2 linked regions of the Caenorhabditis elegans genome follow. The protein of the gene in region 1 purifies or fractionates together with the protein of each later gene. This does not show direct contact. Each region holds a gene or a part of one and is shown in the gene's direction. Other genes may lie near its edges.

Region 1 (5,919 bases):
TACCGCCAGCTCTTTGGTAATAAGATGAAGCTGAAACCTAGAAGAGATGAGCAGTTGCAACTCTCTGAATTTTCAACTTTTTTGGTCAATATTTTTTTCCCGTTCTACATCATCATGATGGCATCTCAAAAGGATCCTTTTCGCTTGTCCTCTGGAGAATATTTCCTCGTATCTTGCGCCTAGCCTAAACATGTTTTGATTGGCCTGCCGACAAGAACCATGAAAAACGGCCAGCCGGACACTTCTTGACACTAGTAGCTCTCTGGGGAGTTTTGTAGGTAGTGATTGTTTACGTTTCCCAAGCTCTTCGTCTCATCTCTTAGATGGTAGATTAGCATTACTCAACCACTAGATGCCCACGCGGAAAATTCGGTTATTCCGGAGAGTGTGGCGATTTCTATGCCAGAAATCAAGTTATGCTGGGTGTCAAGGCTGCAGTTGGGAATTTTCTAGTTTAGAAGTGTAAAAGGCGTTGTTCCTCATATTTATATGTTCCGTTACTTTCAAAATAATTCCATTGTTTCGTTTTCATTTCTTAATTGATTCGAAAAGCAGTGTAACCTTTTCTACTAACTCTACATTTGGATAAGTTTTTACACTGGTTAACTATAGAGGAAAACTGGGTGCATCAGAATTGGAGGCAAAACTTCATTTTAAAACTTTTCATCCACACATTTTTTTCAAAAAATTGCAATGAAATGGATTCACATTGATTTTTTTGTTTTCTTGTACCGCCGAAAGGTAATGAAGTAAATTGATGGCGAAATTCTACCAATTTCCTATTAAGCCTCCAATGCCTCTCCCAGGTTGCGTGGAGGTCATGATAATGACGGGAAATTGTCTCTCTCTCTCTCTCTCTTTCTCATTTTTTCTCTTCCATTTCACTTTCTTCTTCCCTCTCTCTTTCACCCCGCCCTCCATCCTCTGGTGCCCGCAATTCTAGAGTGTATTGGCGCACTCATTGTCAAGACAATTCGACAGCATAGTTATCTAGCTAGCTTCTTTTTTTGTCGTGTCTGCATGTCTGCCTATAGGCCTACTAAGCAAAGCAGACAGAAAGACGCCTTCATGCAAACGTCTCATTCCTCTCGTTTTCATGTTTTTCTTGCAAGAAAATATATGACTACTCTAAAGAATGCCAATTCACGTCTATTTTGGTTCTGTTGAGCCAAGGGATTCCAAGAACTAGGATTCGTTTTTTTTTTGGAATTTTAGTTTAAATAGAGTCCGTAAAAATGAAATATTACCAAAGAACACTTCAAACCAAAAAATCCGCCTACGCCCTCGGAATAATATGGCCTAAGGGGGCCTTCTCGCGTGTTCCAACCCCACTTGGCCATTGAAAGAGACGGCCTTTCTTCCCTTCTTTTTGCCACAGCCCTCCATTTTTCCCCGCTCTTCCTTTTCTCTTCTTACATTTTTTCTACGTCCTCGTTATATTTTTCTTCTTCTCATAACTTTTTTTTATTCATTTCCTACATATCTCTTTATAGTTAAATGCTATAGGGGCGCTGGTTAAATGAATGAAAAGCTCAATAACTTAATATTAAGACCAAAGATTTGCTTCACATAGTTATTTTTCAGAAACCGTCTACCTCAACTTGGTGAAACTCACTGATACGGGACATTACACTATGCTTGATTATAAGGGAATTTTGTAAGTTTCAATTTAACTGCTGCACAGAAAGTTTGAATATTAGAAAGTTCAAATGAGCTACGTTTATAGCTAAATTACCATTTGAAGGATACATGTGAAAATTGTAATTTTGTACAGATTTAACTTATGTGTTTCTATTCCACCTTCCCGCAGAAAAGTCAAGTCGAAAACCCATATGGCTCCAATTAGAAATGTAATCTCCGCTCGTAAAACTTAGTTCTTCATCTCATTTCGTTGCGTTTCACACACCCTAACATTGCAAACCAATGGATCCCAGAACAATGCTAGTGTGTGAGAAACAAAGAGAAACAAAGAGAAGTGAAGGCATTTGGCGTTTCAAGTGTATTAAATTTGTATACTTTTTGCTGGAAAAATGAGGCATTGAAAGACTGTGAGCACTTGGCGCATATTGGAATAGAAGGGGGTGAGAGACGGAAAGCTCACTGACAAATAAATAGTTCTCGATTTCAAAAATTTCAAATAAACAAAATATTGAATTACTTTTTTCCCTTCGCCTCGGTTCTTTGGTTGGTAGGCTTTGCCATTAGTTAAATTTCGCTTACGACAAAATATGAAATTTTGGAAAAATATTTTTAGAACTTAGATTTTAAATTATAATTTTTGAGGGAAGACGATTTTTCAATTTTTCTGTTTCCAGAACCAATATTACGGGTTTTGCGAAGACAAGCTTCTACGTGACGTTACGACGAGGGAGTCGCAATTCAACAAACACCTCAGTCACGTCTACATCTTCAGCTTCATCATCAAAGCAGACGGAACATGAGAGGCTGAGCAGAGATCGCGAGCTTGTTCGTCGGCATGGCCGGTTATCGTCTTCGGAGGAGGCCAGAAACACAGCTGTAATGGGCCGCGAGGCTCGTGAAGACGGGATCTACACTGAAGAGAACGGCGCTGGTTCGCCATTTGTGGTCGTCGTCTCCTGTTACAACCTTGGAGAGATGGTTGTCGAGAAGAGTGTTGAGCTTGAGAACAAGAAGATGGAAGAGGGTCAGATTCCAAAGAAGAAGAGAAGTCGAGAGCTCAACATCCCACAACGCAATATGTTTGCGCCAGATTTTGTTATTCGGCCGGATGAAGATCTTCCTGGATTCTCTCCAATCGACAGTGAGTACGATACAGACGATGATGCATTTGAGGCTGAAGAACTGAATCATCGAAAAGCACCACGACACACTCAATCCATGCCGCCACCGTTGTCGGGAATGAATCCAGATATTCCAAATGAATACGATCCTGTGATTGGAATCATCGCGATTCAGGGAGTACGAATTCCACGCAGCCGACCGATTGACATAGTGCCAAATCGCGAGCCACTGTTTCCTTTTTTTGGGGTAAACAGTGACCTGCAAGTTATGCTGATAACAGAGCGGTAAGTGCAGTTCTACCAGAAAAAAACTTCACACAATTCATCTTTCTTGCCAAGGCGACTGAAAAAGTTTCCCCATTCTTATTGTGGTCTAGAAACTTGTTAGGTTGGAGCATGAAATGCCCCTTATATAGCATCTTTCTGTCTCGCCCATCCCGTTGCTCCAATATTCTAACAACAAGTGATTATTGAGCAATGCGCATGTGCGGGATAGACTGATGGCTGCTTTTTGTCCGGAGCAACTTCAAACTTTTTTGTTTTTAAATTTCGAAATATATAATCACATACGCGTTCAGAATGTACGATGTCTTCAAGGAACGGATACATTCAAAAGGAAAAGAACGAATGCTTACAATGATGGAAAACTTGGCAATGACACTGACCTGTGGCCAAATGTGTGGAAGACTTGTGCCCGTCGAGATGATGGACCAAACCGTCTACTATTATGACTACGACACTGTTAGCTTTTTGTCAAGAGAGGAGCTCATCAATTTGTTGATGCTTTGTGAGCCGGACCAAATTGAAGACATTATGGTTGCTTCGTCGTTTCCAAGCAAATTCCATCGTGAGACACCGGAGCAGATGTTGCAACGTAACAAGCACTATCAGCATCTGATGCATCGTCCGCAGATCTTTCTTCGTCGCACTGATTATATGTCGTGTAGTATTGATGATGAAGATTTCACTTTTCCATACTTCGAATCTGTTGATAATGAGCACAACAAGCGATTGGTAAGTTTCAGATTCTCTTACTGAAATTTTTGTTAATTTTTTTCGGTCTTTATTTTGAGTATATATTGTCCGAAGCGAATTTTTTCCATTTTGCTCATTGCAATTTTTAATTCAACCGTTTTGAAACAATTTTGTCCGGTTTATATTTACATTGTATTTACAAAACTAATAAAATGTTGAAAACTTAAAAATATTTTTTTAAAAAAATTTTCAGACACTCGAACGTCAACTAAACGACGACAACGTCGACCACGAAGAAATGGGTGCCCTCATCAGAACCATCAGTCAAGATCTAGAAGAAGCTGAACGTCAGAATGGGCTTGAATTCGTGCACCGCAGCACTCTTGCTCTTTACGACGCCCGCGTTATCATTCCCCCAGTCAATTAATCACTTTCTTTTTTTTTGTTTGTACCAGGCTTCCCTTTTTCAATCATTTATACATTCATTTCTCCGGCTTCCTAGTTTTTAGTATGTAGTAGACGGTCTTCTCAGTTAGCGCAAGCGCTTTTTTCATCTAATCCCGTGCTCTTGTCCCCACGAACTTTAACTCTGGTAGTCGTTTCTCTCCCAATAACCTTTTTTCTTTTCCTTCATCATTTCATTTACATTACCAGAACAAAAAATCCAGAAAAAACCCTAGAAAAAAATTACTTTCCTTTTTTTAACGTTGAATAACCAGGTCATTTGAAATGGCAATTCTCCCAATCATACTAACTCCCTACGGAGATGTCATGTTTCAAACAATTCTCTTCGAATATCAATATTTGAAATCTTCATTTCATTTTCATGTTTTTCCAGTCTTTGGTTAAGGCTTTACTATGTCAAATTCCTTCTAGTGCACTTTAGTCATGTCACTTTTCCTCCAATTCACCCAATGAAAATCTCCTTGTCTTCAATCTCTATCACGAATCTAGTTAGACACTCAATATTTTCTCATCTCTTTTCAATTTTACAGTGAGTATTTAAGTCATTATCGTTTCCAGTATTATATGTTCCGTTGGACGAGTTGGCATGTCACCACAGTTTCCAAATCTCCCAACCAATTCCAAATATTTTAATCCCCATTTGGAAAGTAATAACAATTGACTTGTTTTTTTGTTGTTTTTTCATGGATCACTGGCCACCTCTTTTCCCAACCACAAGTTCCATAAACAACCACTATATTTTCTGTCAGCTGTGCTGCTCTTCTTACTACTCTCACCTCAGCATCTCCATCTCTATCAACATCCTAACCTTTTTTTATGTAGTCCTTGAATCTCTTGACGAAATCTGAAATGCGACATGATAGCAGTGGATAAAAACTCTTGCTCAAGGCCAACGTTGCCATTATGGGTAGGTTTTGGGAGAAAAAAACGTTTTTATCCTGTTATTTTGATTTTTCAGATGCCATTTTGACCATCCAAAAGTTCTTATTCACTGCCACGTCACAACCTTCCCGTCAAACTGATACCTCCCTCCCCCAATCAAAAAAATTGCTCTTTGTGCTCTCGTAGTTTTTGCTTTGTGTTTCTTCAACTTTGTGATTTCCTTAAGTAATCAACATTGGTATTTGTTTTTGTAACTGCTCGAATAAATGTAGTTAATTTTTATTTAAAAAAATTAATATTCCCATCAGTTTAAAAACTGTTGCCAAATGATAAAATCAATCAAAAACTACTTCAAAATACTGGGTATTGCAATATTAGTTAAACCGGTTTTGACAAGTACCTAAAATTGAATTAGTCAGTTTGTTGATAGCAGTAATTTCTGTCAGAAGTGACTCATAAAACATTTGTTAGGTTATTAGATTTCAACTGAAAGTAAAAGAAAAAGTTCATAATTTATTCATCTCCATGAAAATTGAAAGAACTTTCCCAAGTGATTTGCCAAATCATTGTTGTTTTTGGTAACGCTATCATGTTGTGGATTGAATTTCATATGCATTCTAAAAAAAGTTACATCTGCTGTGAAGGCTAATATTCTAACGAAAATCGATTTTTCATACTCGAAAACAAATGTAAATCACGATTGGTTGCGTTGAGCGCATATAATTCGGAAAACGTAGATAATCAGTAGTATGAATTTAAAAATTGCTTTTGCGTGGGTGTCTAAAAATATAGTCAAAACAATTTAACGATATTGGTTTGGTTTTTTACATGTAGT
Region 2 (4,598 bases), on another chromosome or scaffold:
AATAAAAATTCATCAGAGCTCTGCAGTGTTGAGTTTTTGAAACTAAAGTACTCTTTAAAGGCACACACCCTTTCTCATTCAACAATACCTCAACATGATATATCATATGATATCAAAATTGCGTGTCTGACTACAAGAAACATTCGAAAATTGGAATAAAACGATAGTTTCTTTCGAAAAAAAAAATTGGAAATTGCTTACGAAAAAAGTGTCTTCACACAATTCCTGAACATAAGTCGAGAATCGTTTCGAACTGAAAGCCGGTTACGGTAGTCGTTGAGTAGTAGAGCCAACACATTTGAGGATAATGAAATGTCTTTTGGATCGGACTGGAATTTTAATTTGTGGTTTTTGAGGTTACCGTAGTACAGAACTACCTTATGGATGTGCATTAGTATATTTGCAGCAACTGGTCCAAAGCGTCCATCCGAAAGCCATCGGAGCCTCATGTGTTCGGCGAGAACTTCTGTAGAATGTTGACCAGCAAGCATACTGTAGGCTTGCACTGAAACTCGAATTTTTAAAATTGTGGGTCCCGCGACGATCCACATCACTTTTCACTAAATAACGGGATCAAGGCGTGAGCAGGCACATTTGCCTGATTCTACATACAAAGAACGATTTCGAATTTTCTTAAATAGCTCACCTGGAATTGGTCCTTGTTGTGTGAGAGTTGCAAGAGATGCAAATAGGCTCCGTAGTTTATCATCGTTCATTTCGTGATTATTGATTTAAAAAAAATGTCTGAAAATTTTCAATTTCTGAAATTTCCGATTAACTTAATAATTCTCAAATATTGCCGAGTTAGCCAATTTTTTTTAATTGACGATCAGGGTTCTAGAGCAAGCGAAATATTTCAGCTACAGTACCCGCGAGTACTGTAGAATTTCATTCTTCTTACAGAAAGTTGTTTCCTATTTGACAGTTTTCATATTTCCTGATATATAATAAGACTTCTCAGTAATTTAAGTTTTTCTAACAAGTTTTCAAAAAATTGTGGGAACTGGTTGAATACTTACAGATACTGTATACTAAAATTTTTAGCTCGTGTCAGGACCCAAAAAACTAATTTTTTCTACTAAAAATTGTACAAAATAACCGGGTCAAATCGAAAGACGAATGGCTCGAGCTGAATGACGCAAGAGATTTGAAAATGAGGTGAAAAGTGTCACCAGAGACAATTGGGTGCTTCATGCTCAACTTTCAAGATTTTTTATCTCTTTCGAAAATGCATGATGGCAAAGTTCAGAAGGCAGAGCAAGCAGCATCACACACTCAAAAAATGAAAAACAGAGGAAAAGTGACGGCTGTTTCGAATTACACAACACATGTGGCGAACAGAGAGCTCTGGAGAGCATAGAAGAGGCTCAAAACACATGAACATAGCAATATAATAGACAATTAAAATATTGGAATTTTCATGAATTATATACATATGTATTTTTCAGATGGGTCTCGGCGCGCAAAAGTTTATGGTAGACTTTTTAGAATTTTCACGTCTGCTTTTTTGTTCATTTGCCTTGCGTTTTTCAATGATATTAATTGTTTTTTAGCGAATCATGTCATATTCTTTTCATTTTTCTATCCTAGAGTTTGTAAATATGTTGTTTTATAAAAACACCAACGCTGTTTTCGGTTCATGCATACTTGCATAGGACAAAAATTGCTTGATTGTTTATAAACATAATTATTTTTATTAGCTTTCTCGTGTGGAAATGTGAAACTTCAAGAAAATTCTATTTTGCGGCTGGAAAGGGAGGAAAATTTTTGTGCGGCAAATTAAATTCAAATTTAGCGCGCAAAAAGGTGTTGGACTTTTCTCGGCCGTGCACTCCTCTCGGACAACGTTTCTCTGGTCTCTCTCGGTTTGTCTCTATTCTCTATTTTCCTTTTATTATTTTTTTTCAAGAAATTTACCACAAAAATATGAATAACTCAAATAGAAGTAAGTTTAAAAATAATAATTTTATTCAAAAATTAAAAAATGTTCTTTATAGTAATTCCGTTTGCTTTCAAAAGCTCTGAACACGGCTCATACGAAGATGAGATGATGGAAATGGAAGACGTAGTCGATGTAGAGGACTATATGGGCGGAGAAAAATATGATTCTTATAATGATGCAAAAGAAGATATTAAAGATTTTAAGACGACTCAAAGAATGAAAAAAATCCATCGAATGGGTAAAAAAATTATCAATAAAATATTAAAAGTTCAATTATTGTTTCAGAAAAAATTGAGCAAAACATTGCCTCAGAGAAAATCGATATAATCGAGCTTGGAACACGTGTGATGGTGTCGACATCGGATAAAACGCTCAATGAAGCTTCATTGGAGAGAACCATCCGTTGCGGAATATCTGAAGCCACATTTCTCGGAGATATTTCTATGGAATCGCTGGTAGAAGGTATGGTGAATCCATCGGCGGCTGATGGAAGGTTTGCAATGCTTGGAACGTCTATTATGGTCAGAATTCTGATAGCCCGGAATTCAAAATTCCATTTTTTGATTTTTCAGCTAAATGCGCTAAAGTCAAACATTAAAGACCTGAGAGGAACAATTGTAGGACAGACGACCAACACAAATTCAGAGTCAAAATTCGATAAAATCGATTTAAGTCTAATGAATCTCTCGCATTGCCAACAAACTTCTTACAATATTCGAGCAACAGGTGTATTCTCTGTGAGTTTTTTTTTGTTTCAGCTTCTATGAAAAAATGCCAAATTTTAGAATGCCGATCTTCAATATGTGTTCAGTTTGCTGACGTTCCGCAGAAACGCAAAACTTCTCAACAAAACCAAGCAGTTTATAAAAGCATATTTTTGTGTTGCGTGCCGTCCGAGATGCATGATCTGGAGATATACTTTAAGAAGAGCTGGAAATAGTCAAAGAAGAGCCATTCTTAACTTACCATCCGCCATTGTTTCAACTATTACTCGTAAGTTTTAAATAAAAAAAGAGAATCCATGGGCTTTTTCCAATATTTGGAAACAATTTTCGTTTTTTCAAAAAATAGTTTTAAATGTTGACCTTTTTTCCTTTTTAGATGGCAATTATATGTTTTTCCTTAATAATATTGATTGATAACAGTATAAGCCTAATTTGATTTAAACAAAACATTTTTTTGTTGTAAAATTGCTAAACTTTTTTTTTGATTTTCTCAGAAAAAAAATCCATAAAAAATTTCAATGATACCCTTGCCAATAATCAATTTTTATTGTTTTTTCCAGAGTTTCTGCTCGATTTGACAGGAATTAGCGATGCAAACATCCCATACGATCAGCTCGATCCAATGACACCACTATCAATTTCACTTGGAGAAGATGAATCAATGCGTGTTCAACGATATGAAGAAGCTTGTCGATTGAAGGATCCATTGACGAGATTCTTTCGAGATGCAATTACAGATTGCTTGTAAGTGCCTGAATCCTTGAAAATACATTGAATTAAATTTCAGAAATGAGCTCCGAGAGATGCCGTTTTGCCTGAACACGGGCATTCTGTTGAGCCCGTTGCGTGGTCGAGAACAAGGAACTTCTTGTGTTACATGGAAAGATTATGAAGGATTTTTGAAAAGAGAACACGATCTGCCTTCCGAAGCGAATATGAAGAAGCGAACGCAGTTTGAGTAAGTTTAAAAAATAATTTCGATTTTAAAATCCTTAAAATTTGCATTCAGTTATAAGTGTAATTTTTTTTTGGAAAAAGCGTAAAATTTGAAAATCAATTATATTTTCAGTTACCGACAGGATAACAGAATTTTTCTCTATTTTCGCTCCCTTTTTTTCGAAAAATACCAAAAATAAAATTTCATTGCTGCTCGCTGTTGCGGAGCGTTCTTTAGTTTTTCACTACAGTACTACTTTTGAAAAAATTGTACGTGACGAGGCCGGGTAACATATCTTTGAGACGAGATTTCAGAGTTCATATCTGAATAGTATTAAAATTAAATTTCCAGACAACGGCTCTGCGACATTATTCCACGTGTACGTCGACCGGTTCCCAATTGAAAAAATGTTTAACTTATCAATTTTCGATCTCTTGAATACGTTGTTTCCAATCAACTTTAATGAATAATATTCATGTTTTATTCGTGAAGAAAAGTACCATTTACACAAACACTGGATACCTATCCAAACACCGTTCTTTTTCTTTTCTTTCTGCCACTCTCCCAATCATTGTTTGCTCTCTCTCTCTCTCCGCTTCACTTGGTCATTATCGACGCTTTTTAACCATTTATTCAGAATGCATTTTGTTTCTACACTGGTTTGTCTCATATCACTGTCGGGTATTCAATCTGCATCGGTTTCTTCATTAGAGTGTGGAGGTTGATAGATTTTTCTAAAATATATTTTTAAATATTGAAAATTTCAGCCTGCTCCCTCCTCGTAACCCATTTCGAGCTGAAAATCGCCGCAGTCGACCCGAAAAAGAAAATCGAAGTTGGAAGTTTCCGAGTTTCACCAACTGGAGATCAAAAAGGGCTCAAGGAAATCGGCTATGCTCGTTCAGAATCTCATTTGACAGAAATCATTGAGCACGCTTGTGATGATGCGAAACACTATAAACTTGTGGTAAGAACCATAAATTGTATAGATTTT

What was found.
Region 2: the proteins of W03G11.4 (region 1) and F01F1.11 fractionate together in Caenorhabditis elegans (co-fractionation; one large-scale study listed by BioGRID). This does not show direct contact.

The regions. Positions count from the first base shown.
Region 1 is NC_003284.9:12,075,938-12,081,856, reverse strand, and holds W03G11.4 (uncharacterized protein), read left to right. Parts: upstream 1-1,584; 5' UTR 1,585-1,634; coding exon 1,635-1,657; intron 1,658-1,837; exon of another isoform or gene 1,838-1,915; intron 1,916-2,315; coding exon 2,316-3,047; intron 3,048-3,172; exon of another isoform or gene 3,173-3,270; intron 3,271-3,340; coding exon 3,341-3,776; intron 3,777-3,990; coding exon 3,991-4,164; 3' UTR 4,165-5,376; downstream 5,377-5,919.
Region 2 is NC_003281.10:5,869,173-5,873,770, reverse strand, and holds F01F1.11 (PAP-associated domain-containing protein), read left to right. Parts: upstream 1-1,893; 5' UTR 1,894-1,926; coding exon 1,927-1,945; intron 1,946-1,997; coding exon 1,998-2,180; intron 2,181-2,227; coding exon 2,228-2,463; intron 2,464-2,514; coding exon 2,515-2,679; intron 2,680-2,727; coding exon 2,728-2,935; intron 2,936-3,227; coding exon 3,228-3,411; intron 3,412-3,454; coding exon 3,455-3,625; intron 3,626-3,955; coding exon 3,956-4,007; 3' UTR 4,008-4,086; downstream 4,087-4,598. Other genes in the region: F01F1.3 (MIF4G domain-containing protein), read right to left, coding at 202-329, 378-505, 647-716; F01F1.15 (DUF3456 domain-containing protein), read left to right, coding at 4,243-4,324, 4,372-4,571.